Mus musculus: one gene and its partners. The protein of the gene in region 2 purifies or fractionates together with the protein of the main gene of each other region. This does not show direct contact. Links are inferred from orthologs where the notes say so. Each region holds a gene or a part of one and is shown on either strand. Other genes may lie near its edges. The genes, in order: Tgfbr1, Smad7, Usp15, Itch, Tgfbr2, Acvr1b and Wwp1.

Region 1 (4,168 bases), on a different chromosome or scaffold from region 2:
AGAGAAGCTAAATTATAAAGAAAAGCTGTGCATTTCTTCAGAATGTATAAAAGGCTACACTGAAACAACCTAACGAAATGAGACAAGGTGAACTTATCTAGGTCTAGCGTCTTCTTTTTGGGGGGTGGGGTTGAGATAAGACCTCTATATTATGATGTCCTAGAACTCACTATGAGATCAGAATCTGCTGAGTGCTGAGATTAAAGGCATGAGCCACAGTGCCCTGCAGGCCATAGCTTAAACTGATTCCTAATTCCACATAGAGATGCTGGGTCATATAACAATCTGGCAACAGTAAAGGACTTGTGAATGTATAACACCCCAAAATTAATTCAAAATCAACTGAGTAATGAATCTGAGGTGTTTCTGGCAATCCATGCTTATGTTGCAAGATGCAACTTCACTACAGTCTTGGTTCTAAACACACATGCTATCGTGCTATGCAGTGCTAACACAGTCCAGACTATTATTTTATGAGTTTTAATGTTTTTATTGAATATACAAAGTTTTCTATTCTTCCAGAAACATACACAAACTACAGAAAAGACTTTCATTCCTCATGTATATCAAAGTGGTATATCCTTGACCAATTGTATTGTGTTAAAATGTCTGATTTTAAAAACTGCTGTTTAAGTTGCTGACTTAAATTTCATTTTAAAAATTATTACATAAATCTCATCTTGTGATTAAGATAGAATTGCAACAATTTCTGAAATGGTCCTAAACATCTGTAATTATGTGGAGTCGCCAGCACTGGATGATTCAGTTCTTTAAGAAAAAATAAACTCACCCATCTCATTACTACAGAAATGTGCTTTAATCTTTAATAAATGGTAAAACTGTATATACCAATGAATTGTTTTAAAATAATTTTATTTATGCTCTATTATCAGTACATTTGATTTATATACCCATCTTTTACATTTTGTATGTGACTCATGGGCACATACAATCTTTTGAGAAAAGAGGGTGGCAAATGGGGAAAGTTTATGAAGTACTAGTCTAGGTTTTGAGCAATAAAAACATCTAGGCTAATTTTGTATTACATCATTGCCTAAGTAGGCTATAAAGTCCTCCAGGACATGAACCAGCCTTCTCAGCATCCACGTCAATACTGCTAAATGCATGAACGTGTCCTGCTTTGTTTTAGGTAGAAAAGAATTAATTACTTTACCCAAATAACTGTTAGATATGGTCACTTATAGTTGATGCATAATTATAACAATTCTCCCACTTTGTCCACCATTATTTCCTTCCTAAGCCAATGTCAAAAACCCATTGTATCTTCTACTGTAGACCTATGTAAAGAGAATGTTCAAGTAAACTAAGAAACTGATGGCTAAGTTATGTTATCAAATATCAACTGTTCTTTAAGTGAGTCATGCTACTTTGGTGTAACAGGTGCACAGATTTTGAACCCTGAAAGCCTAAGTGCAAATCCTAATTTCTGCACTTACTAAGAACTTAATCTTCTGCACCTCAGTTTTCATGTCAATATACAGGACAAATACTGGTACTGCGAGGGTTCTGATACTGTGTCTTTTACATCTGCATTATAATCAACTCCCAATAAACAGTAACTATTAAGTTTAATCATAGTTGGCATCCACAGTCTGGAGAGACTTTTGTTTTGGCTTGTTTTGCTTTTTAAAATGTTGTTATCCAATTTCCGCAACAAAAATGTATTTTCACTGTATGCAGGTTGCTAATGCCGAGCCTCAGTATTTTGCTTTCTCCTATTTTAATTGGTTCCTGACAAAGTTTTTTTCAATCTTCCCTCCAGAGGTGACAACCAGTATCACGACCGGCTTTAATATTTTGGGAAACCACACATTTCCCTTCAAACCCCAGCTACACAGAGGTCTGGTTTTAAAACTACCGCTTAGGGAAATGATACACCCAAAGCAACGATCCCCTCGAGAAAAGGAATAATTTGATCAATTCTACAGAACCGTTCCCATTCAAACGTTCCCAAATCTGCAGAGTGAGCAAACGTTCAAGTTTCTACTAGCAAGAAGACAATCTGCAGCCTTCTGGTTACTGGACTCTGAACTCTTCCCAGACTCACGAAGCGAGAACATTCCGCGCATCTTCGCGCCTGCTTCTCACACAAAGCCCCTGGTTGAAGAAAAGTCGCCCTAGGCGGGCGTCGGCACTCACGGCGGTGCGGCCCACCCGGGGTCTCTGCCCACGGCGCCCCTTTCGACCCTCCGGGGAGCCCTCCAAGCGCCCGGCCCCGGAGCGCCTCCACGCCGGTGCCCGCCCACGCCCCAACAGCTTCAGGCCGGGGCGCATTTAGGCAGTGGAATCAGGGGGCCACGGTCCCGGCCGGCCTCGCACCCCTAAGGGCAGCCCCCGACCTCGGCAGGCTCGCCAGCCGCTGCCCCCCGGGAGCCCAAGAGGGCCGGCCTCTGCTCGGTGCTCCGCCACCCGCGCTCGACACCGCCCCCGCCCCGCCTCTCCTCCCCGCCCCGGCTCGCGTGGCGCCTGCCGGGTCAGGAGCGCCCGGCCGGCCGGGCGCCGCCACCTGCGCCCCCGGCCCCGCGCCATGTTTGAGAAAGAGCTGAAGCGAGCCAGAGGCCCGGCCCGGCCCGCGCGCCCCGCAGCCACCCGCCCGCCACTCACCCTTCGCCCCCGGGAGCAGCGTCGCCGCCGCCACCAACACGATGAGGAGCTGCGGACGACGTGGAGCAGCGGCCGCCGCCTCCATGGTCCCGCCGCCACTGTTTGTGGCCCGGCCCGGCCCCGGCCGCAGCTTCTCCTCAGGAAGCCTCGCCCCTCCTCGCCCCACCTCCCCGCCGCCGCCGCGGCCTCGCTCCGGCCCTTTGTAACTGCTCGAGGGGCGTACGCCCATTGGCTGCCCGGCTCCCGCCGACCCCGCCTCCCCCGCCGCCCGCGAGCGCCCTAGCGGGACCTAGCCGAGAGCCCCGCCCGCGGGGCCCTGGGCTACCAATGAGCGGCCGTGGGTTTCTGCCTCTAACCACGCCCCCGCACTGCTGGGCCTCTGACCACGCCCCCTCACCGCTGGGCGCCTTTACTCCAGCCACAGCGGGCAGCTCGCGCTCCCGCGGCGGGTGGGGGCAGGGTCCCAGTCTGCGCGCCCGAGGGAGCCCACGGTCCCGACTGAGCGCAGGGTGTGCCTGTGAGAGTTGCTCAGGGAAAGACTGTGACCGTTGCACGCTCTTTTCTTCTACTCCAACCCCACCCTGACTTCCCCTGCACAGTCCTGCACCCGCAAAACCCAACTCTCGCCACTCGGACCCTCAATATTGTCCGGGGTTCAACTTCCCCCACCCTAGACCCGCGGCTTCCAGCCTCCCCGCAAAGACAGTCCGATTTCTTTCTGCACTCCACGTCCGCCCCAGACCTCGTCGTCCTCTCCCCAAATTCCAGTCTCAAAGTCGGAGCCCAGTTTCGGAATCCCAAGGTGGAGCTCAGACACACCCCCGAGTGGCCTCTGTGTCTCGGCACCGTAAAAAGACCCAGACTAAGGGTCCCCGCCGCCCTCCTTCCCTCCCACCTTTGCTGTCCCCGCGTGGAAGCGGAGAGGCCCACGGGTTTCGAAGGAGGGAGGATTGCCCTACGAAGAAGCATCCCGCCCCGGGGCGAAGCGGGAGCAGTCATAGGTACTTTGAGTTGTCTCCGACACTCCTGTGTAATAATTTCGAGGTGTCACTAAAAACCCAAATAAACTCAGCTCCGCTTTCATTCTGAATTCCTAATTTACTGTGAGACGCTCCACCCACCTTCCCTCTGGGACGCCAAAATGAGCTCCAGATTTGTAATTCTTCCTGTCAGACTAGTCCTTTCTTCAGACACAAACACAGTCACGGAGGCGGCCGCATGGCACCGACAGCATTTTTCCGCAGAACCTTTTAAGGAGAAAATGTTATTTTCTGTGTGATTTGAACTCGGAATTAAATAAAGCTCCGTAGTAGGAATCAGCCGGCCTCTAGTAGCTGTTGGTAAATTGCTTTATAGCCACTTTCCAAGAGTTTGATCCTGCTTATGAAAGCAAACCGTGGGGGCTAAGAGCTGGGGTCTGAGACTGCTCCTCGGCTCCAGCTAGGACACGCTTCAGCAAGTCCTCAACCTGCCAGAACCTGAACAGGCCTGCTCTCTGGGACTCCAGAACCATCAGTTCCTGCCTCCCCTGGCTCCCCTGGCC
Region 2 (3,937 bases):
TGCGAAATAAAGATTAAAAGTCGAGGCCACCCAACTTCTCCAAGCTGTTCCTTCTCACCCCGAAGCTCGCACAGCTGAGACTGGATACCCAGTTCAGTCTCCATCCTACCACTGCCCCCAAACTCCAAAGCTGTGAGGCCAGGACAGTATCTGGGCCACTCGTGTCCCACGTGACTGTCCTTATTTACTAAAGGAGAGACTTTCCAGCCTTTAAAGCTAGTTTCTCCCAGCCTTCCTTGGCGGGCTTGGGTCGAATCCAACTCGGCCACACACCTCATCGCCTTTCCGGGTGCGGGGGAAGCCGGATTCCCCACTTTACTCTGTACCCCCTTGCAGACCCGGAAATTAGACTGTCTCATTTTCTGCAGCATGTCTATTCAGTAGAAGGATAAGCAGTAGTAACCCTGGGTCCCCTCCTCTGGAGGCGGGGGGTGGGGGGGTGGGGTGCAATAGAGAAAAATCTTAGAGGGAACCCCAAGCTTCCCCTGGTCCCTTCTCTGACTTAGATTCCTTGTCTCCTCCAGGAGGTTATACACACATCCTCGAGCATTTCCACGCCAGAGGGAACGAAAGGTGGACTCAGAACAACTTCTTACCTAGTTCACAGAGTCGACTAAGGTGATGGGGGTTGCAGCACACCAGCTCGGGGTTGATCTTCCCGTAAGATTCACAGCAACACAGCCTCTTGACTTCCGAGGAATGCCTGAGATCCGGCCACCTGAACACTTTGCACAGCAGGAGGGGGAGCGAGTAGGACGAGGGCGGCTGCGCGGGCTGCGCGCTGGCGGGCGCCCCCGGGCCCAGCCTGCAGTCCAGGCGGCCGGGCAGCAGGAGGCACGCGGTGCGCGTACCGCCGCGGGACTCCACGGCCTGAAGCAGCAGCTCCAGCTGCCGCTCCTTGAGTTTCTTGAGCACCGAGTGCGTGAGCGCCTTCAGATCCGCCTCGGCGCCCCCGGCCGCCCCGGCACCCGAGGTTGGGGGATGGGGATGGTGGTGACCTTTGGCACCTCGGACTGCCTTGCCCAGGCAGCAGCCAGCCCTGCCCGCACCGCCGCCACCAGCCCCATAAGCCCGGCCGTCCGTCGCCCCTTCTCCCCGCAGCTCGCCTCCTCCGCCGCCACCCCCCACGCCCTCCTCCTCGTCCTCGCCGCCGGGCGCACGGCTCCTCCAGAGACGCCGGACGAGCGCAGATCGTTTGGTCCTGAACATGCGGGGCGAGGAGGCGAGGAGAAAAGTCGTTTGCCGGCTAAGGAGCGAACATGACCTCCGCACACCATGAAGAAGTCGGGCGCCGAGTTGGGGCAGCAGGCGCAGGCGACAGCAGCAACAGCAGGGGCCCGGGCAGAAGCGGCGGCGGCCCGAGGGGCGCTCCGTGGCATGCGCCAGTCTCCCAGAGGCCGGGGCGCGCGCGGGGGCCCAGGGGCGCCTGCCGGGGATCGGGGGGCTGCGCTTCGGCTGCCCCACCCGGCGCGGCCCGCGCCCTGCGCGGCTTTCGGGCCCCGGCGTGCCCTGGAGGAACGCGGCCGCCGCTTCCCTGGGGGCGGCCGAGGCAACCCCGGTAGACGCCTCCCCCAAAAAAGGCCCCCCTACAGTGGCTCCCGAGTGTCGGGCTCGCCAGCCTCGGCTTCCTACATGGAAGATCCTCGGGGGCAAAAAAAAAAAAAAAAAAACGAAAGACGTTAGGCTGAGCTACTAAAGGGAGGAAAAAGCCTCTTTCCCCCTTGCTAAGCAACTTAATTTGGGGGTGGGGAGAAGCAGGCAATTAAAAAAAAAAGGCAGGCACGATTTATTTTTTTTCTTCTATATCCTTAGTAACCGGATCTCCTCGAATTCTGTGCACGCGAAGACTTGAGGGAGGGGACCGAGTAGACTTCACCCCTCGTGAGATGTCTGGAGGGTCTCTCAAAACCCCCAAAACCAAAATATGCAAAGCCCCCAATGAAAAAACACACCACCTCCTCGCACCTCGGAGGTCTGGAGGGCACCGGATGGAGCCCGGGTTTAAAAGAGAAAATGTTTACAAAGTAAAACAAGATGTTGGAAGGGTGGGGGAAAAAAACCGTATCCACGAGTTACATCCCCCTTTTTTTCCTTGCTGAACCCAGCCGGTCTTCCTTTCCTTTTCTTCTGCCAAAAAAAAAAAAAAAATCGTATTTCTTTTAATCCACAGAAAGGTCTGGCTAGGCTGCTTCAATCTTGCGTATCTGGGTGTTTTAGAGTCTCTGGTCTTTCCTCCTGCGTTCCCGGGGGCCCAGGTCCTCGGCGGGGACTTCCTCCGCGCTGGGGAAGCAGGGACAGAAGATGCTGCGGCGGCGGCTGCGCCCCGGGGGGCTGTCAGCGCGGGGGAGGGCGGCGCGGCGGCGGGCTCCGGCGGGTCGCAAGCTCTCGCCCCCGAGGGCACAGGCTAGTGTGGGGGCCTCCGGTGCTCCTTCTCCTGGCCGCGGGTGGCCGCCGGGGCTGCTCTCATGAGCTGCTGGCCCCGACCCGACAGTGGCGGCAGGAGGCCCGGGTGTCCTCTCGCAGCCTCTTCCTCGGAGACTCTCTTCGTCGCGCCCCGGAGCCTCCTCGTCCCCCGTCCGCCCTCTCCTGGCGCTCGAGTCCTTCTGCCGCCGCTGGGGGCTCGCCGCGCCGCACTCAGGGACTCCGGGGCCGAGCGCTCGGCGGCGTGGCGCCGGCTGGCTGGCTGGCTGCGTCTCAGGCAGCTCTCTCCGGCGCGGCGAGCGGACCGAGCGAGGCGCCCGGCTGGCTCTGCTGGCGCAGCTCGGGGACAAGATCCTCTGTGCGCCGATCAGCGAGCGAATGTGCCCAGGGCTCGCCGCCTCCCGCAAGGCCTCCCGCCTCCGCCCCCTTCCCTCCCCCCTCTACCCCTCCCTCCCCCGCCCCCAGCCGCCGCCGCCTCCTTCCCGCCCCCCCACCCGTCCCTCTGCTCGGCTGGTTCCACTGCGCAGTGGCGCGCCCGGCTCCGGCCTCGTCACGTGGCCGTCTAGACACCCTGTCGCTTTAAAAAAAAAAAAAAGCGATTGTGTTTCGCAAACAACAGATCGGGTTTCTAAAAGCTATTTCAACCCCCCTCCCAGTTACTGCCACCCTCTCCCAGGTCTAGAGAGGGGTACCCACGGTGGAGGGAGGTGGGAGGCCGAGACGGCCCCGGGGGTCGGCGGAGACCCAGCGGGAGCAGGGGGAAATCGGAAGAGCTGGGGGCATGGAGCGGGCGAGTTTGGAGCGGAATGAGCCGGTTAGTGGCCCGATTTAGACCAGCAGAGCTCGCCCGGGCGCTTCATTCATTCGTTTTGTTTTAAGGCCCTGGCGGCGGATCCCTTGGAAAGGGGAGGAGATCGCTGTCTGTTTCAAAGACATTTACACCGGCCAGGACGGAGGCCCTGGGAAGTGTGCGCTAGAGGGAACAGCCGGGCGGCCGAGGGCGGAGAGGCGGCGCGAATGTGACCTCAGCGGCCGCCGCGCTCCCTCCCGCCCTCTCCCGCTCCGGGCTCGGGTTTCTAGGACTGCCTGGAGAAGTGTGTCTTGTGCACAGCTCTGGAATGCATTTGGCAGGCTGACGAGCAGCGAGGGGCAGCATCCTGGAGGGAGGAGGGGTGCAGCTCGCCCGCGCGCCGCCGGCAGGTTTCCTCCCGGCCTGGAAGACCTCCGGCACCCGCCACTCGGCCTCCCGGCGCGCTAACCTTGCCCAGCCAGCAGACCTGCTTAGAGCATCCAATCGCATGCGGGGCCTGCTTAGGGTCAGAGAGTTTATTCCTTCACCATAGGTTCCAGAGAAAGCTATCCCCAGATGCAAGTGATTGCTAGGAAGTAGAAAAGGTATTTGTCAAGCAAAAGTCCGTGGAGCAGGTCTGAGGATAGTACTAGAGTGTTAAATGTTACTGAGACAACTAGTTGGCATGGTGATCCAACCTGACATATTTAGTAGGTTTTTGAAAAG
Region 3 (3,500 bases), on a different chromosome or scaffold from region 2:
GGAGGCAGGGACCACAGATCTAATTTCTTTGTGGCTTGCTGATGCTCTTTACAATTTGGACAATACCTATCAAGAAGAAATCATAGCGCTTGACAGAGGCAGAACCATGCCTGCATTACTGAAAACTATGAACCAAAGTCACCGCATGGGCAGGTTCTCCATCTTAGCAGTGAGTAATTATTGTAAACCTAACAGAAATGAACATGCAAGCAATTCCTCACGACATTAATCCTCTACATTTTCACATGAGCTTTATAAAGAAATACTCAGAGGAAGGATGAAAGTGGTTTATTAGGGAGAAGACAATACAGTCCTGAGAATGAAGGTTCCACTCTGATACTTCACAGAGCCATCAGCATCCTTCTTTAGACCAGAGCTTATTATATAAAGACACCGCACTCAAATGCCAAGGAAAGCCAGTCTTGGCCGGCCCGCCCGCCCGCCCAGCACACGCCCTCCAGGGAGGACGCAGACAGCGCGTGTCCGGCTCTTACCAGGGGTCCTCAGCACCCAGCTTCTCCTTGGTGGTGAAGAGCTCAATGCAGTCTTTTAACTTCACAAAGGGCCTTTTTGGAGGTTTGTATTCCACACTTTCATGTTTTTCAAAATCCTAAAGAGATGTATTTCTTGAGTTATGAGAACAAGTGAAATGAAACTACTCTTAGTCATAGGTGAACTATGTCTTATCAACAATGCCAACTTTCAGAAGCATCCCAGAGCTTACGCCCACTGACAGGTCACGCGGCCCCTTCTGAGTGAGCCTCTGGCTGACTAACCTCAGGGAAAGCATGTTCAAGACCAACTACACCTTAACGACTAAGTAGCTTAACCTTGTTTTCTGCTAAAATCAACGTATCCGTAGAAGCAAAGGTAGAAGGAAGAGTATCATTAACTCCTAGTTACAGAGAGAGAGTGAGAGAGAGCAGAAGACGACAAGGCCTTACCTCTGCAGCATTCTCATCAAAGTATCTCTTCTTCAAGTCAGGGTCCCAGTCCAAAGCGAGAAAAGATCTTTCTGAGGTGAAAAAATTTTTTTCATTAAAAATGTTGTAAGATTTAAATGTTAAAATAAGCGTATCTTCGTGCCAACACATACACCATAGAAGAGGAACCCCAGCATGTTTCTACTTGCACTAGGCGGTCAGGGCAAGCCTGAGAGCTGCACCCATGCCGCTGACATAAATAATCTGAGCGGTGAAGTGATACAAAGCTTAAACACACAGACTTTGATAAACACTGCCACTGTTGAAGGCATTCATTAAGGCTTTTAATTATTACTTATAGATAAGCAAACGTCCTTTTGTTCAAGACAGGTCTAAATTTCATGGTCTCTGACCTAAACAATAATTTGCTCTGCTCAAGTTCAGTGTCCACGCCATTCTCAGATACTCACCGTCCAGCCGAAGCTGCCTGTCATCGAATCGGATGTGACTGGTGTCGTCTTTGATGTAGTTGATGTCATTGTTGCCTAAGTTGTTGAACTGGAATGTAAACAAGCGCTTTTTGTGTCCCGTAAGTTGACCTTTGCATGTTTCTTCAGTGCACAATCCATTTTCAGAATCGTTATCTCCTCCGACTGAATCTTCAGACTGACTGTTCTCGTTCTCTGAGGGAAGCTCTTGATCCTGGCTGGACTCGTCATCTGGCTCGTCGGTTTCCATCTCACCTTAGTGTAAGGAAGAAGGGAGGCCTTTAAATAACCCTGCAGTGCACTTCCGAGTCACTGGCACTGCTCTCCTACAGCGACTCGTGTGCTCTGGGTGGGGGAAGGAGGACTTAGAACAAGTCTTACTTGGTGAACCCTCTTCATGTAGGCCATTTGGCCCATTCCCATTAATATTCTGGTCCTCACAGCAACGTAGGTGTCCATCTGTTTCCTCAGTTTCAGTAGACATTTTGACATACCGGCTACAAAAAGAAATTTTTAAAAATCAGGTAATAAATGAGCCTGCTAGAAAATTAACTTTGCATTTGACTTAAGAAAACCAGCTACGTTAACTTAACCTCAAGACCTCACACTGAAGTAAAGCTGAGTCATCATCTGTATCTGTGTGGTTTTAATACAAAAGGGGACTGTTTACTTCTAGGGTTTTCCCCCCTTATACCTGTAGGCTTGTTTGTTTGTTTCTGAGACAGGTCTCATTGTCTCTCTGAGGCTGGCGTGAACTCTATGTAGACTAGGCTAGCATTGAACTCCTACCTCTCTCAGCTCTGCCATCTCAGTTCTGGGATTAAAGGTATTTGCCCCCACACCTCGCTGCACGGTCTGCTTTAATTTAATTACGTTTAATTACATTTGTGTGTGTGTGTGTGTGTGTGTGTGTGTGTGTGTGTGTGTGTATGCATGTACATCAGGTGTGTGGAGATGGAGGCCCAAGGACACCTGTAGTCACTGGTTCTCCCCTTCTACCACATTGGCCTCAGGGACTGAATGTGGATTGCTAGCCTGGTGGCAAGCAGCCTTATCTTACCTACTGAATTGTCTCTTCATCTTGGGATTTCCCATATTTTATATATTAAAGATGTAGCACAGTGGATCATTTCTCAACTTAAAACAAGAACTTCATAAGCGGCCCTCACATGTGTGTATTGTTATCTTTATACATGGGTCATGAAATTACCATGCTTTGGTATATAGGAAATATAAAATATGTCAGGTATAAAGGATAAGAGAAGACGTCTAATGGTATTTGCCATTACCTTATTCACATTAAGGTTTATAAAAAGCAGTGTGTGTGTGTGTATGTGTGTGTGTGGGGGGGTACTGTCTCACCATGTCACCTGTTAATACTGCTGTGACGTTTTGAACCAGCTGCCATCTGAGATTTACTAGGATTTCTGCTCTGAACTAATATTAGTCATTGGCCAACCAGAACTGCCTTCCCACTGGTGTAAAACAGCTAAGGATTGGGTTCACAAATTTGAAATATCAGTAATGAATTTTATGTGACCAGGTCAATGGATTAGAATGTAATTTTACTTTTACTTTATTATTTACTTTGGTACTCTTTTTGTAGCCCAGGTTGTCCTCAAGTTTGCTATGTAAAAAAAGTAGGGGGCTGGCGAGATGGCTCAGTGGTTAAGAGCGCCGACTGCTCTTCCGAAGGTCCCGAGTTCAAATCCCAGCAACCACATGGTGGCTCACAACCATCCGTAATGAAATCTGATGCCCTCTTCTGGAGTGCCTGAAGACAGCTACAGTGTACTTACATATAATAAATAAATTAAAAAAAAAAAAAATAGAAGCCAGGTGTGGTGGCGCATGCCTTTAATCCCAGCACTCAGGAGGCAGAAGCAGAGGCAGGCGGATTTCTGAGTTCCAGGACAGCCAGGGCTGCACAGAGAAACCCTGTCTCAGAAAACCAAAAGGTAGAATAAGAATCCCTGGTTGTCCCAGTTCTGTGTCAGAAGTGCTGGGGTTACAGGTATGTACCCTAAGTCCTGTTCACGCAGTGGGTCACACCTAAGGCTGAGATTACAGATGTACATCACCACCTTCT
Region 4 (4,250 bases), on a different chromosome or scaffold from region 2:
AAATAATAAAGTAACAAAATATATTTATAATATTTGTTAAAATATCTTATAGTATGCCCAGTGACAAGAATCATCTGGGATGCTAGTTTAAAAAACAAAACAAAACGAAACAAGAAACCAACCCAGATTCTCCTAGAGCACACCACTCTCTCAATATTGGGGATAAAATCTTGGGCCTCATCAATGCTATGTAAGTATCTACTAGTGAGTTACATCTTGAGCCAACTCTTACAGCTTAATCCCTAATGTGGCAAACATTGGCTGGAAGTGCAGAAGAACTTTTAAATACTTAAACACACCAAACCAAAACTAAAAAACAAAAACAAAATCCCAAAAACCCAAACCCAGGGTTTCACCACGTAACCTCGGTTGGTCTAGAACTCTCAAGATATTTGGACATGGCTAGCCTTGAACCCACAGAGATCCATTTGTCTCTGTCTTCTAATGGAACCTGAAGCTTGCTGTGTGGTCTAGGGCGTTGACTAGGGAGCTCCTATGTCTGCCCACCACTGTTAGGGGTCCGTTGGTGCCAGCTTTTATATGAATGCTGGGGTTTCAAACATCCTTGTGCTTGCATGGCAAGAGCCTTTACCCACTGAACCATCCTCCCAACTCAGAATCTTTTTTGTTTAATAAACTCAGCACATAATTCATAATATGGTAGTTTCAAAGGTATTTCGAAAAGTTTAAGTGACTTTCTAGATAGTTTCCTTACGAGGAAACAGGATAAACAATAATAGCAAAGTTTGCTAATTATCACGTGCCTCTATTATTACCACTGCACAGCCTATTAATTCGGTAGGATTAGATGTGTTTTGCCTGGGTTAAGAAGTTTAATTTAAGCATCTGAAAAGGTAACCAATGGCATCTTTCACATAGTTTTGTTGTAAACGTTTAGAAGTATGCTTTTCAGTTTTTATAACTCATGCCGCCTTGGCGCTGTCAAGCTGTCACCCTCCTAAGAACTTCCTGTCAAAAGGTGGAGAAAGGAGAATTTGAACCCAAACAGTGTAACTCCAGAAGGATAGAACCGGCACAGTGCTTCATAAATTGTGATTCCTGCTGTTAGGAGTATCAGGAGAGAACTTGATAAAAATGCAGATTATAAAGCAACCCCTATTCCATCCCAGATCTACTGAGTCAGAAACTGGCGGTGGAGCTCAGCAGTCTGTTTTTAAAAGCTGTTCAAGTGATTCTGAGACACGCTAGCATTTGGTAACAGTCTTTAGAGGTCCTGGCGGGGAAGAAGGGGTCAAAAGGAAGGAACGAAAGAAGAAAGGAAAGAAGGGAGAAAGGAAAGGAGAAAGGAAGGAAGAAAAGAAAAAAGCCTTGGAGATGTAGAGAGCAAGGCTTAGTGTCCACTTCACCTGGAGGTGAGGAAAAATGATTTAGGAGGCTGGCGCGCAAGGCCTGCTGGGGCCTGTAGTCCGGACTGCGCCGAGGAGGCCGCGCCTGCGCACTAGGTGTGAAGTAGCTCTAGTCGCTGTAGTCGGGGCTCGGGACCGGCTGCCATCTTAGCGGAGGGACTGAGGAGTCGTCGCCGCCCCGAGTCCCGGTAAACACGCGCAGGCAGACTGGGGTCATTTCTGTGGCTTGGAGGGAGTTTGGATGAAAAGGCATGGGGAATGCGAAGGGTAGAGGAGTGTGGCGCTCGAGTCTGGACCTAGAGCCGGGGCTGCTCTTCCCGCAGCCGGTGTCCGTGGGGGGCGCCCGGAGAGCCGGCTGGTGGCCCGAGCCGAGTGGCGGGTGGGTCAGCAGGTCGAGCCGAACTGCTAGTGCTTGGCCTAGGCGTCCGGAGCCTGTAGGCCCGCGAGCCCCAAGTTGGGAGAGAGCCGAGCCGCGGCGGACGTGGGCAGGGTCCAGCCCCGCGCCCCGCTGCCGCGCCCGGGGGTTCCTCTCCCGCGGCCCGGCCTACGCGCGGGGCCCGGTGGCAGCGGCCCGCCCGCGCGACGTGGCCCTTTGAGGGGCGGCGGCCGGGCCCACCTGCCACCTGGCAGGCTCCCCCCGAGACTTTTCCAAGCTCCCACTCGCAGAGGACCTTCCCCAGTGACTGCTTCCCCTTCTGTCTTGTACTTCCCTCCTCCCTCCATTGTCCCCACTCATGGTGGTCCCGGCCCAGGCCGGCGCCACCGACTTTTGCAGACGTGGAGCTGTCACAGCCCTTTCTACCGAGAGCGTACTTTTCTTGAGCAAAGAAAAAAGTAGAGGTGAGCGCATTTGAAAGGTGGAAGCCCAATGAGGGCAGGACTTTTAAATAGAAGACTTGAGTTTTGAGACATAGTTCCCGGCTGCAACTTCAAGAGAGAAAAAAAATATATAAGGGTCAGTGCACCCGAAGTAGGCATTGGGCCTAAAGTTAGAGATGTGACCAGGTGACTTGCAAAGTACCCCAAATTCACAGTTCCCCACTCGCTTGTTTTCTTGGCTGTGTTAGAATCCTAATCCTGTTGAGACTTCTGTTCCTCTTTAAGCTGCAGTGAACTTGTTCTAAAGGGGGCAGTGGGGAGAAGAGGGAGGTTTTCTTCTTCACAGTTGACAGAACACCATCTAGCCACCCATCATCATTCTCTTAAGTGGGTGGTTCTCCTGTATCCTTATCTTAAGAAAGTAGGTAAAGGCTGTGTATGTTCACTCCCAGGATTGGCAGAGGGCTTGGTTCTCATCTGAAATAAAGTCTTTTGGGGGCAAGTTTGAGATTCAGCCTTGTGTATCACAGGGTTACCTAAGGCTTAATTTTGCAGGTTTAAAAAAGATTGAAATTTTCTTTTGAACAGTGAATATACTTTGTATGTGTGAGTTCAGGAATTCAAACTTCAGATGTCAACAAGGATATATATACTATGAATCCAAAAGCAAGTGCCTAATACTTTTTACTGTATTCTAGAGTAAATTCTACATTCTTTAAAACAAACAAACAAACAAACAAAACAACAACAAAGATTTACTTAAGAGACAGACTGATCCATGGTCCCAAGGTTTGGCCATTAGTGTAATTACAAGAGCTTTTAATTTTTTTGTTTTTGTTTTGAGACATGATTTGCTCTGTATCGCTGACTGGACTAGAACACACTGTGTGTAAACCTAGGCTGGCATCAAACGTCATTCTGTCTTCCTGCCTCTCCCTCCCAAGTGCTGGGATTATAGGTGCTTAACCAACAGAGTGGGCTCGGGAGAAGTTTTGAGATTTGTTTATTTGTGTGTGTGTATGTGTGCATGCGCACACCATGACTTGAGTTGGAAGTCAAGAGTGTTTCCTCTTTCCTGTGTGTTCTAGGGTTCACACTCAGGTCATCAGGCTTGCATAGCAAGTGACTTTCCTTGCTGAGCTATTTTGCTGGACCAGGAGAGATTTTTGAAAGTAGAGTTTTCAGCTCAGTTGGTAGAGTGCTTGTTTACCACACACAAGGCCCAAGTTTATTTAGCTCTCAGAAGCATTGGGAGGTGAGGCCGCCTGAAGTACTTGAGACCCTTTTTAAAAAAGTAGATGCTCTCAGGTCTCAGTTTTGAGATAGAATAGTGGGTCTGGATTGGCTTCTATAACTTTACTTACAGATGGGCTGTAGGTAGTTGGGATGGTTTTGGGAACACTGAGGCAAATCATAGTATGGTTATAACAAAGACAGCACAAAAAGCTTTGAGATGGGGGAGGAAGTGGAAGTGGCCTGTGTGGGATTGTTGAGGGAAGTGGCAAGACCTATGTATGAAGGTCAACATGGTTAGTTCCAGGCCATCACAGCTACCTAGTGGGTCCTGGCTCAAAAAAGGGTTAGTCTATGGACCCGAGGTTCTAGAGCAGTGGTTCTCAAGCTGGGTTTTGGCCCCTTTGGCAAGCCTCTAGCTCCAAAAATATTTACATTGTAATTCATAACAGTAGCAAAATTACAATTATGAAGAAGCAGCAAAAAATAATGTTATGGTTGGAGCTGGTAAGCCCCATGAGGGACTGTACAGCATGAGGAACTGTATTAAAGGGTCACAGCCTTAGGAGGGTTGAGAAGCAGTGGGTTAGAGGATGAGTAGGAATGGGGCAGAGGTGAAGAAAGGGAAGGAAATACCTTACTACCTCGAGGCGTGTGTCAGTTAGGAAGGTGGGAGAAAAGGAGCGCAGGGTGTGGGATGCAGGGGCCTCAGGACCAGGAGGGCAAAAGGACCTGTTCTGGAAAAGCTCTGCGTACAGTGCTAATGCTCGTGAATTTGATGTCGTGAGAGATCAAGGCTTGGGGAAAGGAAGTGGTCTAAGTTGGTGTTTA
Region 5 (3,500 bases), on a different chromosome or scaffold from region 2:
TGTGCCTGTGGTGTGGTACCCAGGCTACTGGATGCTGTGTTCAAAGGGCCTGGCTGGAACTCAGCTGTTGAACCCAGATGCCAGAACGGACCTGAAGCCACTTACTCTAACATCCGGGAAGTGGAGACTGAAGGATCCCTGGAGCTCAATGTCCAATGTAACCTCCTTGCTGAGTTCTGAATCATCAAGAGACCCTGTCTCAAAAACAATGTGTGGCTGGGAAGGTGGCTTAGTAGATGAAGTGTTTGCCACACAGCATAAAGACCAGAGTTCAGATCGCTAATACACTTATAGAAGCTGAGTAGGCTTGGTGCCCAGCGTAAATAACCCTGAGACTTGGGTGGTAGAGCAAGGGGGTCAGGAGTTCAAGATCATCCTCAGTTAGATAATGAACTCAAAACCAGCCTGGGATGCATAAGACTTTATCTACATAGGAAGGAAGGAAAGAATGAAGAGAGGGATGGGGCAAGAAAGGAACTAATGAACCCAACCAAGAAACAAGCAGGTCAGTGAGCGCCTTTGAGTCCTAGCAGTGAAGGCAGAGATCAGCAGGTGACTTGCAAAAGGTATGGAGAGACTTCACACCAGGTAAAGTGCTTGCTGCATTCAAAGCACGGGGAACAGGGTTTGGATCCCCAAAACCCACATAAAGCCAGCTAGTGTGGCAACCCTCTCATAATCCCAGCTCTCCAGAAGCAGAGACAGGAATCCCCAGGGCAAAGATGGCTAACCACCCAAGCCCAATGGTGAGTTCTGAGTTCAGGGGGAGTCTGGCTCAACATACAAGGTTGAAAGTGATAGAAAAAGAGAACCAGTATCAACGTCCACATGAACGTGCACACTTGTATGCAGATGTGCATACACACACACACAGACACCACATGTACACATATAAAACACCAAAAACGAAACATAAATGTCTTGCAAAATTAGCGTGCCATCTTGCGGTTATAAGACAGCCACTCCTGATAACACTTGCCCTGCTACATCTTAGACTACACTTTTTGTTGTTGTTGTTGTTGTTGTTTTTGATTTCTTGAGACAGGGTTTCTCTGTGTAGCCTTGGCTGTCCTGGAACTCAATCTGTAAACCAGGCTGGCCTCGAACTCAGAAATTCACCTGCCTCTGCCTCCCACGTACTGGGATTAAAGGTGTGCGCCACCACGCCCAGCTAGACTAAACTTCTGTTCTGGCACCTATCAAGTCTTGCTGACGGATGGCTGTCAGATGGCCATCATGACACCCCCTCTACTAATTTGCATTCTGAATTTAGATGAGTATTGGGTAGGTTCTCAGGTCCCCCCAGTTAAAGCGTTCTCCAGAGAAGGCAAGGGAGCTGTGTTGGGGACAGTTCTAGGGAGCTGTGTTGGGGACAGCTCTGAAGAGCGGGCAGTTTCTGGCTAGTGTTCCCTCTGTTTCTGCTGCTTTCTCCTCTTCTTTCTCCTTGGCCAATGCAAGATGCACTGAAGCCACCAGACATCACACAAAGCCTGCTGCCACGGGAGGCTGGTAGGAGATGCCAGAGAAAGCAAAGGCCCATTTTTTTTTAACATTTCCAGACATGCCCAGCCTTTTGACAGTGTGATCTACAAAGTTCATGCTGGAGAACCATGCAATCAGTCACGCCCAAAGTAAAACATAAACAAATCACAAAACACATCCTACAGAGTTTTAAGGATGTTTATGATATTGCTTTGGTCTCTATTCATAGCTATCCTGGTGCACATGTAGCCTGCAGGCTTCAGGCTGGGGATACCTGGATGGCTTTCTGACTAGATGACAAGGTCTCTCTGTAATCTGTCCCTTCTTCTGAAGGGACTGGCATGTAGCAGGTAGATAGGTTAAAAAAAAAAAAAGACCTGCCAATCTCTGTCTGTCTGTCTGACTGCCCATAGATTGTCTATACACACATACATACATATATACACACATACATACATACATCTAGAGGTTGGGGCATCTGGAATAGTAACATCATGCCTTCAAACACTGAGGGCACCCAACATCCATACTTTAAAGGATTTGTGTCAAGGTCATGGCTATTGGTTTTAATTGGAAGTCACAAAACACAGGCAGGAAACAAAAAAACAAAAACTAAAAACAAAAAACAGATGTAAAACAGCAAGAATATGAGTCCCAGTAGGAACTCTTTGCCAAAGGGCATGAGGGAAGCTACTGGGAGTCAGAGAGAGGCGGGTCTCCAGACCATGGAGCTGTTGGTCCATTGTGCACATTCCTTAGGCTCCAGCAACTGCGCTTTTCAAAGGCTGTTTCATTTCAAGGAAATAATAGATGAAGGAAAGGAACGTCAAAGAATATTCAGGCCTGCAGTCCCAGCACTCAGGAGATTCCAAATTTGAGGCCAACCTGGGCTGTGCTTAGTGAATCACAGGCTAATGAGTAGCACAGTGAATGCCTCAAGGAAAATAAATGAACATACAGGGTAATTAATTAACTAAAAGTATCTCAGTAACATGTGTGCATTTATTACTTATCCATAATTCTGTATAGAGTGGTATCTTAGGCCAGCCAGCCCAAACTAATCTTGCCATAGTAAAAGATCCTGCTTCAAAAAGCAAGGTGGATGGCTGCTAAGGAGTGGCTTCCAAAGTTGGCTTCTGGACGTCATACACATGAGCACAAATGTGCACATATACTATGCACACAGCCACAAATCCATGCACACACACAGAGAGAAAATAAATTTTAAATAATACTAATAATCTCCACTGCTAACAATCCCCAGCTGCTGCAGATGCCCTGAGAATGAGCTTGGGAAAAGAACCATCGCTCTGGAGGACAGAAATTGCTTGTCAGGGCCAGGTACCAAGATGGGAATCAAATCTGAGAAGGGCAAGCATGGAGCCCACTGCTTCTTGAGTTCCTCTGTCCTCTCCGTGCTCCACACAGCAGTGCTCCCCTGGAGGACTGTTACCCGGGATAACTACTCACCTTCCGAAAAGATGATGTAATCGTTGCACTCTTCCATGTTACAGGCACACATGAAGAAAGTCTCGCCCGCCCTTTTCTTTTCCTTCATGACACACTTGGGAGAAGCGGCATCTTCCAGAGTGAAGCCGTGGTAGGTGAGCTTGGGGTCGTGGCAAACCGTCTCCAGAGTAATGTTCTTGTCGTTCTTCCTCCTGGGGCACAGAGGTTTGTTGAAGACAAGAGAGAGGGACAGAAAGAGGGGACGATGAATGACCAGTCTCTGGATAGAGCAGTTGAGTCTGTGCATTCCTTAGGAAGTGGTTTCCACTTGAGTGTCCCAAACTCTCCTGCACCGGCTTCGTTTATCTCTCTCCACCTTCTGCTCACCTCAGAGCCTGATTATGATTACAGACAAGATAGCTATCCTTGTAGACATGGTGGTAGATCTCTTTCTTTTTATCTTTGGTATACATGTATGTGTGCAGAGATGTGTACCTGTGCCCACATGCATGTGGAGGCCAGAGATCAACATCCAGTGCTATTCTGCAGGGGATGCCCCCCTTGGTTAT
Region 6 (3,500 bases), on a different chromosome or scaffold from region 2:
AGCAAACCGCTCTGGAAGTCACTCAGGCCGTGGTGTCTTTATTATTATTAGTAGTAGTAGTGTTATGTGTTATTGCCATTATTTGTGTTATTTTGTTTTTTAAGTTTTATTTATTTTATGTATGAATGCTCTATCTGCATGCACACCTATATGCCAGAAGAGGGCATCAGATCCCATTACAGGTGGTTGTGAGCCACCATGGAGTTGCTGGGAACTGAACTCAGGACCTCTAGAAGAGAAGCCAGTGTTCTTAACCACTGAGCCATCTCTTCAGCCCTGTTTTTGTTTTTTGTTTGTTTTTGAGACAGGGTTTCTCTGTGTAGCTCTATAGACCAGGCTGGCCTTGAACTCAGAGATCCACCTGCCTCTGCCTTCTCTGTGCTGGGATTAAAGGCGTGCGCCACTTGGCTGTGGGGTCTTATTAGAGAGACAAGCAAGTAGCCCAGTCAGTGAGGAAGATGCTCAGCAGCGCCACTTTATCGCCAAGTCTGGAATGTGCAGGTTCAGTTTGTTACCGATTGATGGCTTGCTTCCTCGCTCTGACAGGAGGCTCTCCGTGCTCCACCCACTGCTGCCCAGGAGGAGAGCCCGCTCTTGCCTGCACTCCTCCCTCGATCATGACCCAGTGCAGCACCTGTCTCACTGGAAATGTCTCCTTCCACTTGGTGTCCATTCTCAGGCCAAGGGCCATGATGAGAGCAGAAGGATCCCATTTGTGCATCCCTGTTGCAGAGCCAGGAATGCTCTGAGCACTCCCACAAAGGCCATCTTGCCCTTCAGGAAAGCAGTGGAAGGCAGGGAGCTTGCTGACCCCTCTCTTTCACTTTGGGGTGGCAGGACGGAGGACAGGGAGAGGAGAAAGCAACACTGATCAATCTGGCTAAGCTTGCTGCTGTTGCTAGGAAGATTAGAAACTGGGCTGAAAGCTTCCAAATTCTAGGCTGGTGCTAATCCCAGGGCCTCACACTGGCTATATCATGGTAACAAGGCAAGAACAAAGGGGTCTGACTCCCTCCTTTCCTGGCCCTAACTCAGATCCCAACTCATACAAGCTTCCAGAATCAATAAAGGCTGGCTGCTAGAAATGTCTCAACCTTGTCAGCTCTGACCCCAAAGAGGGCCATATTCTAACCAGTAACTCCTTTCTGAGGAGGCCATGACCTGCCATAGGACAGTTGGAGCCTTTTAATGACTCTAAGACGTCTGGGATAGCAGCAGCTCCTCAGAGGGCTGAGACCGTCTCTTCTTCCCCTGCACTAACACCCAGGGCTCTTCAGCTGTTGGGCAGCCAGGGACCTGCAGCCCCGCAGCACTCTGAAGAACACGCTCAGCTGGCATTCCCCATACATCTGTGGACACTAGCCTCTAGTCATTGTGCTGCAGAGGGAAGTGTGTCACAACTGCCAGACACTTCTAAAACACAACTCAGTGCCCTCATAATTTCTGTGTTCCAGGGGTACCAAATGCCAGGTGTGTGTGTATGGTGTGTCTTTGTAGGGCTATGTGTACATTCATGCAAGTACCAGCAGATGCCAAAAGAGGGCATGATATCCCCTGGAACTAGAATTACAGGCCACACAACATAGTATGTGTTAACACACACACACACACACACACACACACACACACACACACACACACATACACACACACGGGCATGGGCACGCACAAAAGTCCAGCATAACCTTGTCTCTGTCTACCCCTCCCCTGCTTCTCCCATGTATATAAAAGGCTGAGACAGAGAGACTGTACATTTGTGGCTAGGCTGTCCTATATGTCTAGTCTGCCTTATGACAAAGGAGAAAAAACGAGGTGGGGGGGGAGGAAAGGGGATAGAAAAGAGAGGGGATAGAGGGGGGAGGAGAGAGGAGAGAGGAGGGAGGAGAGAGGAGAGAGGGGGGGAGGAGAGGGGATAGAGGAGGGAGGAGAGGGGATAGAGGGGGAGGAGAGGAGATAAGAGGAGGGAGGAGAGGGGATAGAGAGGGAAAGGAGAGGGGATAGAGAGGGGAAGGAGAGGGGATAGAGAGGGGAAGGAGAGGGGATAGAGAGGGGAAGGAGAGGGGATAGAGGAGGGGGAGGACCGGCAGCAGAAGCTCTGGGGCTCTAGGTATAAAACAGACCGAAACCAGTCTCATAGCTATGAGGTGACACTGAAAGGCCAGTGTCTGCTTATGGTGGCTTCCCTACGACAGTGTGTGTAACGCTTGTGCTGTGTTGTAGACCGTGTATGTGTCTCTGCCACCTGCCCAGGCAGGTGAGAACGTAATTCCTATTGTAGCAGTTTTCAAAACAAACACACGGGAGTCCCAATGGGGGCCATGCTGGGTGCAGATCGGAGAGCAAATCAAGGGATAGAGGAAGAAAAGCCTGTGGGGCATGGGAGGCCTTCTTAGCTACGCAATAACCCAGGTTCCGTGTGAGCATCTTGGCATAAAATGCTCCACATTTAAAGTGGGTTTAGAACTATGGTCTTATTCAGACCTGCTGTGTGCAGCAGAGCAGAGCAGCCAGGCCTCTCTAGCGCCAACAAGTGGCCACTGACTTTGGGACACAGTACCTTTATTGTCAGCAGCAATAAAGCCAAGGATGTTTTCATGGCGCAGCATGACGGTCTGGTAGATCTCTGCTTCACGGAACCAAGACCGTTCTTCACGAGAAGAGAAGATTTTCACAGCCACGTCACCACCCCTCCAGCGACCACGCCATACTTCCCCGAACCGGCCCTTGCCGATAATCTCTTGTAAAACAATGGTTCGGGCCACTGTGCGCTGGACAAAAAGGGGTAACCCTGTAGGCCAAAGAATAGAGAAAAATCTGACACTGCAATTTTGCCAAACTCTGGGCCTGCCACACAATATACACCCCCAGAAAGGCCCTCCACCAGGTGTCTCTCCACTCTCCCTGGCCCAATAGCCACAGGATGCTATAGCAAGGCAGGAGCCATGCTAGGTGGTTTACCAGCAGGCTAAGCACAAGTCAGCACAGAAAAACACATGCTAGCTGCCCTTAGCCAGGACTTCCCCTCCAGGCTATACGGATGAAAGACTACATGTAAATCTTTGACTAGAGTTACCAACTCACTGATGGCTGCTTTATTCTGGTGTAACAGGAAGAATGTAGCAGACTCCTGAGTTGGGCACTGCCTTCTGGCCACCCTGCTCACTAGCCACTAGAGGGCGATGCTGTGTGGCCAACAAAGCAGACCTATGGTGGAAGCACACAGGGTACGTAGCTCTGCAGAGGAAGAGCAGGAAGCTCCAGTGTAGACTGGGGACTACCCACACTAATTCATGACTCAGTTTACTGCCTTGTAGGGCTCATCATTGCTTCATTTGACTCATCTGATGTCTATCTCTCCTTCTATCCAATCCCCTTATCTATCATGACTGACTTCCATTCTCTCACTGGACCAAATAACAGCTGTTAGTAACCCTAGGTTTGCTGGATTTACTGTGTGCTTAACATGCACGTGTGTCTCCGCCAGGGCTTTACAGAAATTC
Region 7 (3,500 bases), on a different chromosome or scaffold from region 2:
TATACAGAAACACAGTCAGAAAAATAAATGGCCTGGCTAAAAACAGAGACATGAATCAATTTGATAAAATACAGGCCCTAGAGTTAAAAAGCCACTTGACTTTCGTCTAATGAATGGGCAGTTCTTGAAAGATGAGGAACAAATGGAAAAAAAAACAAAAACAAAAACAACAATGTTCAACATCACTAGTCATCACAGAAATGCAAATTAACACTACACAGAGATTCCATCTTACCCCAGAGTTGCTAACAAAGAGAAAACAACAAATGCTAGCAAGGAAGCAGAGAAAAGAGCATCCTTACACACTGCCGCTGAGCATGTAATCTGGCTTGCTTCTATAGTAACTACTAAAAGACAAAAACAGGAAAGAGGACTAATTGCTTACCAAATACCATACAGCCATGGAAATATGCATACAATTAACATCATACAGACTGAATAGGTTATATTTAGGAATATATACGCATATACATATAAACATGTAACAACAGTTAATGAAAGCATGGGTCCATGAATTTGAAGGAGAGCAGAGGTACATGGGAGAGGGCTTGAAGGGAGGGATAAGAAGAGAGAAATAATCTAATTATATTTATAATCTCAACTTGATGAAAATGCGTAAAGTTAGAAATGATTATGTTTAGTGAAATAAACCAGACAGAAAAGCAAAGGTTTCATGCTTCCCTTTTTTCAGAAAGGTATATATTCGTTACTTTTTTCTTCAAAGATGTGTTCTTATTTTAAGTGGATGAATATTTGCCTGCACATATGTTATATGTACCATGTGAATGCCTGGTGCCTGCAGAGGACAGAGTCGGATCTGGAACTAGAGTTACAAATGGTTGCGCGCTACCATGTAGGTTCTGGGAACCAAACTGGAGTTTAGTACACAGGAGCAGCAAATGCTCTTAACTACTGAGCCAATTTTCTAGCTGTCCTGTGACAGGAAAATAGAAAACGAACTGGGAAAGGATAAGAGTAGCTGAAGGCAGTAAGGCTAGGGGGAGGAAATGCAAGACTGAACATACTCAAAGCCCATGGTTACTTAAAACTTCTTTGTACAACCCAGCAGCATACATACTGAATAGATGCCAATAAAATATTTATTATGTACAAGCTAAAAATTGGGATTGTGGGCTGTGTGTGTTGGTACACACCTTTATTCCCAGCAAACGTAGGTGGGTCTCTGATTTTGAGTCTGGGTTGGTCTATAGAACAAATACCACAACAGCCAAAGCTACATAGAGAACCCTTTCTTGCAAAGCCAAAATAAATAAATACTAAAACTTTTCAAGAGTAGTGTGGGATGAAATGTCAGTGAAAGGGGAGTTCCCAGACACAATTCTGCCCATTCCTGGCATAGCTTCAGTCCCTTCATCTGTAAACGAGGAGGCTACATCGCCTTTGCAAAATACTTTACGTTAAATTTTTATCATAAAGAACTTAAAAATAAAAAATTCATACACCAAAATTAACCAGACCCCACATCTATTGATCGTTATAAACATTCTGAAGCTGTGAAGCTTCACACTGGATTTTCACTATTGAATATTTGCATGCATTTATCCATCACCAAAAAATGGCAGATTTAAAACTAGAAAAAATATACTTTATATCCTCTTTTATGAATCAAGTTTCAGTTACCTACATTCATTCAGTCTTTCACTATCATCTCTGATAAGTTACTCTTTCCTGTTCTCTTCTTCAGGTTATACTATCCCGAAGTGCACTTTTACACACACACACACACACACACACACACACACACATTGCATTGTATATGTATATGTGTAATAGGCTAGGAGAACATACAACTTTTCTTTCTGAGATTTTGAAGACTGGAAATCGCTTTCAGCAGCATGTTGTCATGGCTTCTGACTTGGTCAGAAGCGAGACTGCCTATTGCGAATGCACATGGGAAAGTGACTAACGATATGCATTGTTCGAGCAAACTCGAGCAGGATCTGGATCAGCACAGAGCACAAGGACCTGAGCCAGCGGAGAAAGAACCTGACGAGAGTTTTCCATGTGTTTCATAAAAACTACTAAGGTTAAGAGTGTAAATATAGGATATTTCTAATTATATCCCATACCTTCTACAGAATGAATTCAATCAGCTCTATCAACCTACCCAATATATTCATCTTTGTTTTCTTCCGTCACCAGGATATTGGAACCTCCCAACTTTAAATCATGTGAAGTAACTTTTCCCAGAATCTCCATGTCTACAGAAAAGTACATTTCTAAGCCACATTCTTCAATATTGTTATCTCTGGATAAAAAAAAAAAAAATAGTGTGAGTGTGCATATAAACACAGTATAGGAATGGGTTTCAAGTAATTACTTCTATTACAAAAAAAAACTTCAAACCTTATCCAGATTAGAGAGTTGTAAAATTCAGTATCAATAGATTCCAAATCCTTAATAGTAAGTTTTTTACTTAGCATACGCTTGTAGAATGGTAAAGAGAAACCAGTATCAATAAACTTTCCATGGAACAGTGCCTGTTAAAAACAAACAAAACATTTTATTTAAACTTACAAAATAATAATCTTTATAGCATAGTGACAATATAGAAATCATGCAGCTTTACATATTAAAAAGCACTATTCAATGGTATAAAATGTGAAGATTAGCATACTATGCAATGCATAGAAAACTACAATGAAAACATTTATTTCATAGGTCAAACATAATGTACATAAAAACTATAAAGAGATGATGAGACTTTATTACCAAATTCTGCCACTTTTAAATATTTTTAGTAATTAACTTAAACACAGAAATAAAAAGCCCATGTACTTTGTTCCATTCCTTTATTAATCTGTAGGACCCCTGTGTCTTCATGCCTACATACAGCATGAATACAGGAAGACACCAATGATTTTTGAATCCATAATATCTAAAACTATTTGCAGACCCTTAATCTGTTTACATTAAATCAATAAATCATGAAATTATCTTCTTATATAGCTTCAAACCCTCCCCAATGTATTTCTAACAAACTCCCAAATCTAGACAAAATCAATTAAGAATTTATACTGCCTATATAGTGGTAGAACATGCTAGAAGTACATATAGCAAGCTAGCTAGCTATGACCAGCAACCTCATAGAAGCATGTTTACTCACGACATTCAGTTTCCCTGTCTCAGATGACTACGAACTGCTATTCCTTTGTCCTCAAATACTTACTAAACTTACTGCACACAGGAAATGGTAACCGGGAGCACATTTGTGTAGTCTACCCATCTGCTCACCACTAGCATCTCAACTCTCATACTCCTATTGCAAGTAAACTTTCTACCACTTTTGTGAGCAATACAAACTTCTCCCTTTGATTCAAGGTCATTTGCCAATACTTCTTATATTACGGGGTTCATCCAGTTCTTTTTCCTCATCTGGGCTTGGTGGCTATAACCAGCACACAGGAGGTTGGGGTAGGCTATCAACCTAAGCTACAATATCAGAATCCTATTAATTGTTACCAAATTCTCTAGGATAC

Evidence for each region.
Region 1: the proteins of Smad7 (region 2) and Tgfbr1 purify together in Homo sapiens (affinity purification with western blotting; 19 studies listed by BioGRID). This does not show direct contact. The link is inferred for Mus musculus from reciprocal best matches to the Homo sapiens genes SMAD7 and TGFBR1.
Region 3: the proteins of Smad7 (region 2) and Usp15 purify together in Homo sapiens (affinity purification with western blotting; 3 studies listed by BioGRID). This does not show direct contact. The link is inferred for Mus musculus from reciprocal best matches to the Homo sapiens genes SMAD7 and USP15.
Region 4: the proteins of Smad7 (region 2) and Itch purify together in Homo sapiens (affinity purification with western blotting; 4 studies listed by BioGRID and IntAct, with this or other methods). This does not show direct contact. The link is inferred for Mus musculus from reciprocal best matches to the Homo sapiens genes SMAD7 and ITCH.
Region 5: the proteins of Smad7 (region 2) and Tgfbr2 purify together in Homo sapiens (affinity purification with western blotting; 3 studies listed by BioGRID). This does not show direct contact. The link is inferred for Mus musculus from reciprocal best matches to the Homo sapiens genes SMAD7 and TGFBR2.
Region 6: the proteins of Smad7 (region 2) and Acvr1b purify together in Homo sapiens (affinity purification with western blotting; 3 studies listed by BioGRID and IntAct, with this or other methods). This does not show direct contact. The link is inferred for Mus musculus from reciprocal best matches to the Homo sapiens genes SMAD7 and ACVR1B.
Region 7: the proteins of Smad7 (region 2) and Wwp1 purify together in Homo sapiens (affinity purification with western blotting; 3 studies listed by BioGRID, with this or other methods). This does not show direct contact. The link is inferred for Mus musculus from reciprocal best matches to the Homo sapiens genes SMAD7 and WWP1.

Annotation. Positions count from the first base shown.
Region 1 is NC_000070.6:47,351,854-47,356,021, reverse strand, and holds the start of Tgfbr1 (TGF-beta receptor type-1 isoform 1 precursor), read right to left. Parts: upstream 2,801-4,168; 5' UTR 2,711-2,800; coding exon 2,626-2,710; exon of another isoform or gene 1,784-2,625; intron 1-1,783. UniProt on the Homo sapiens protein: Transmembrane serine/threonine kinase forming with the TGF-beta type II serine/threonine kinase receptor, TGFBR2, the non-promiscuous receptor for the TGF-beta cytokines TGFB1, TGFB2 and TGFB3.
Region 2 is NC_000084.6:75,366,228-75,370,164, reverse strand, and holds the start of Smad7 (mothers against decapentaplegic homolog 7), read right to left. Parts: upstream 2,801-3,937; 5' UTR 1,210-2,800; coding exon 597-1,209; intron 1-596. UniProt on the Homo sapiens protein: Antagonist of signaling by TGF-beta (transforming growth factor) type 1 receptor superfamily members; has been shown to inhibit TGF-beta (Transforming growth factor) and activin signaling by associating with their receptors thus preventing SMAD2 access.
Region 3 is NC_000076.6:123,124,020-123,127,519, forward strand, and holds part of Usp15 (ubiquitin carboxyl-terminal hydrolase 15), read right to left. Parts: intron 1,909-3,500; coding exon 1,793-1,908; intron 1,667-1,792; coding exon 1,394-1,666; intron 1,016-1,393; coding exon 945-1,015; intron 611-944; coding exon 495-610; intron 67-494; coding exon 1-66. UniProt on the Homo sapiens protein: Hydrolase that removes conjugated ubiquitin from target proteins and regulates various pathways such as the TGF-beta receptor signaling, NF-kappa-B and RNF41/NRDP1-PRKN pathways.
Region 4 is NC_000068.7:155,132,031-155,136,280, forward strand, and holds the start of Itch (E3 ubiquitin-protein ligase Itchy), read left to right. Parts: upstream 1-1,450; 5' UTR 1,451-1,555; intron 1,556-4,250. UniProt on the Homo sapiens protein: Acts as an Acts as an E3 ubiquitin-protein ligase which accepts ubiquitin from an E2 ubiquitin-conjugating enzyme in the form of a thioester and then directly transfers the ubiquitin to targeted substrates.
Region 5 is NC_000075.6:116,126,864-116,130,363, forward strand, and holds part of Tgfbr2 (TGF-beta receptor type-2 isoform 1 precursor), read right to left. Parts: intron 3,144-3,500; coding exon 2,953-3,143; intron 1-2,952. UniProt on the Homo sapiens protein: Transmembrane serine/threonine kinase forming with the TGF-beta type I serine/threonine kinase receptor, TGFBR1, the non-promiscuous receptor for the TGF-beta cytokines TGFB1, TGFB2 and TGFB3.
Region 6 is NC_000081.6:101,198,072-101,201,571, reverse strand, and holds part of Acvr1b (activin receptor type-1B precursor), read right to left. Parts: intron 2,789-3,500; coding exon 2,558-2,788; intron 1-2,557. UniProt on the Homo sapiens protein: Transmembrane serine/threonine kinase activin type-1 receptor forming an activin receptor complex with activin receptor type-2 (ACVR2A or ACVR2B).
Region 7 is NC_000070.6:19,625,505-19,629,004, forward strand, and holds part of Wwp1 (NEDD4-like E3 ubiquitin-protein ligase WWP1), read right to left. Parts: intron 2,502-3,500; coding exon 2,368-2,501; intron 2,270-2,367; coding exon 2,129-2,269; intron 1-2,128. UniProt on the Homo sapiens protein: E3 ubiquitin-protein ligase which accepts ubiquitin from an E2 ubiquitin-conjugating enzyme in the form of a thioester and then directly transfers the ubiquitin to targeted substrates.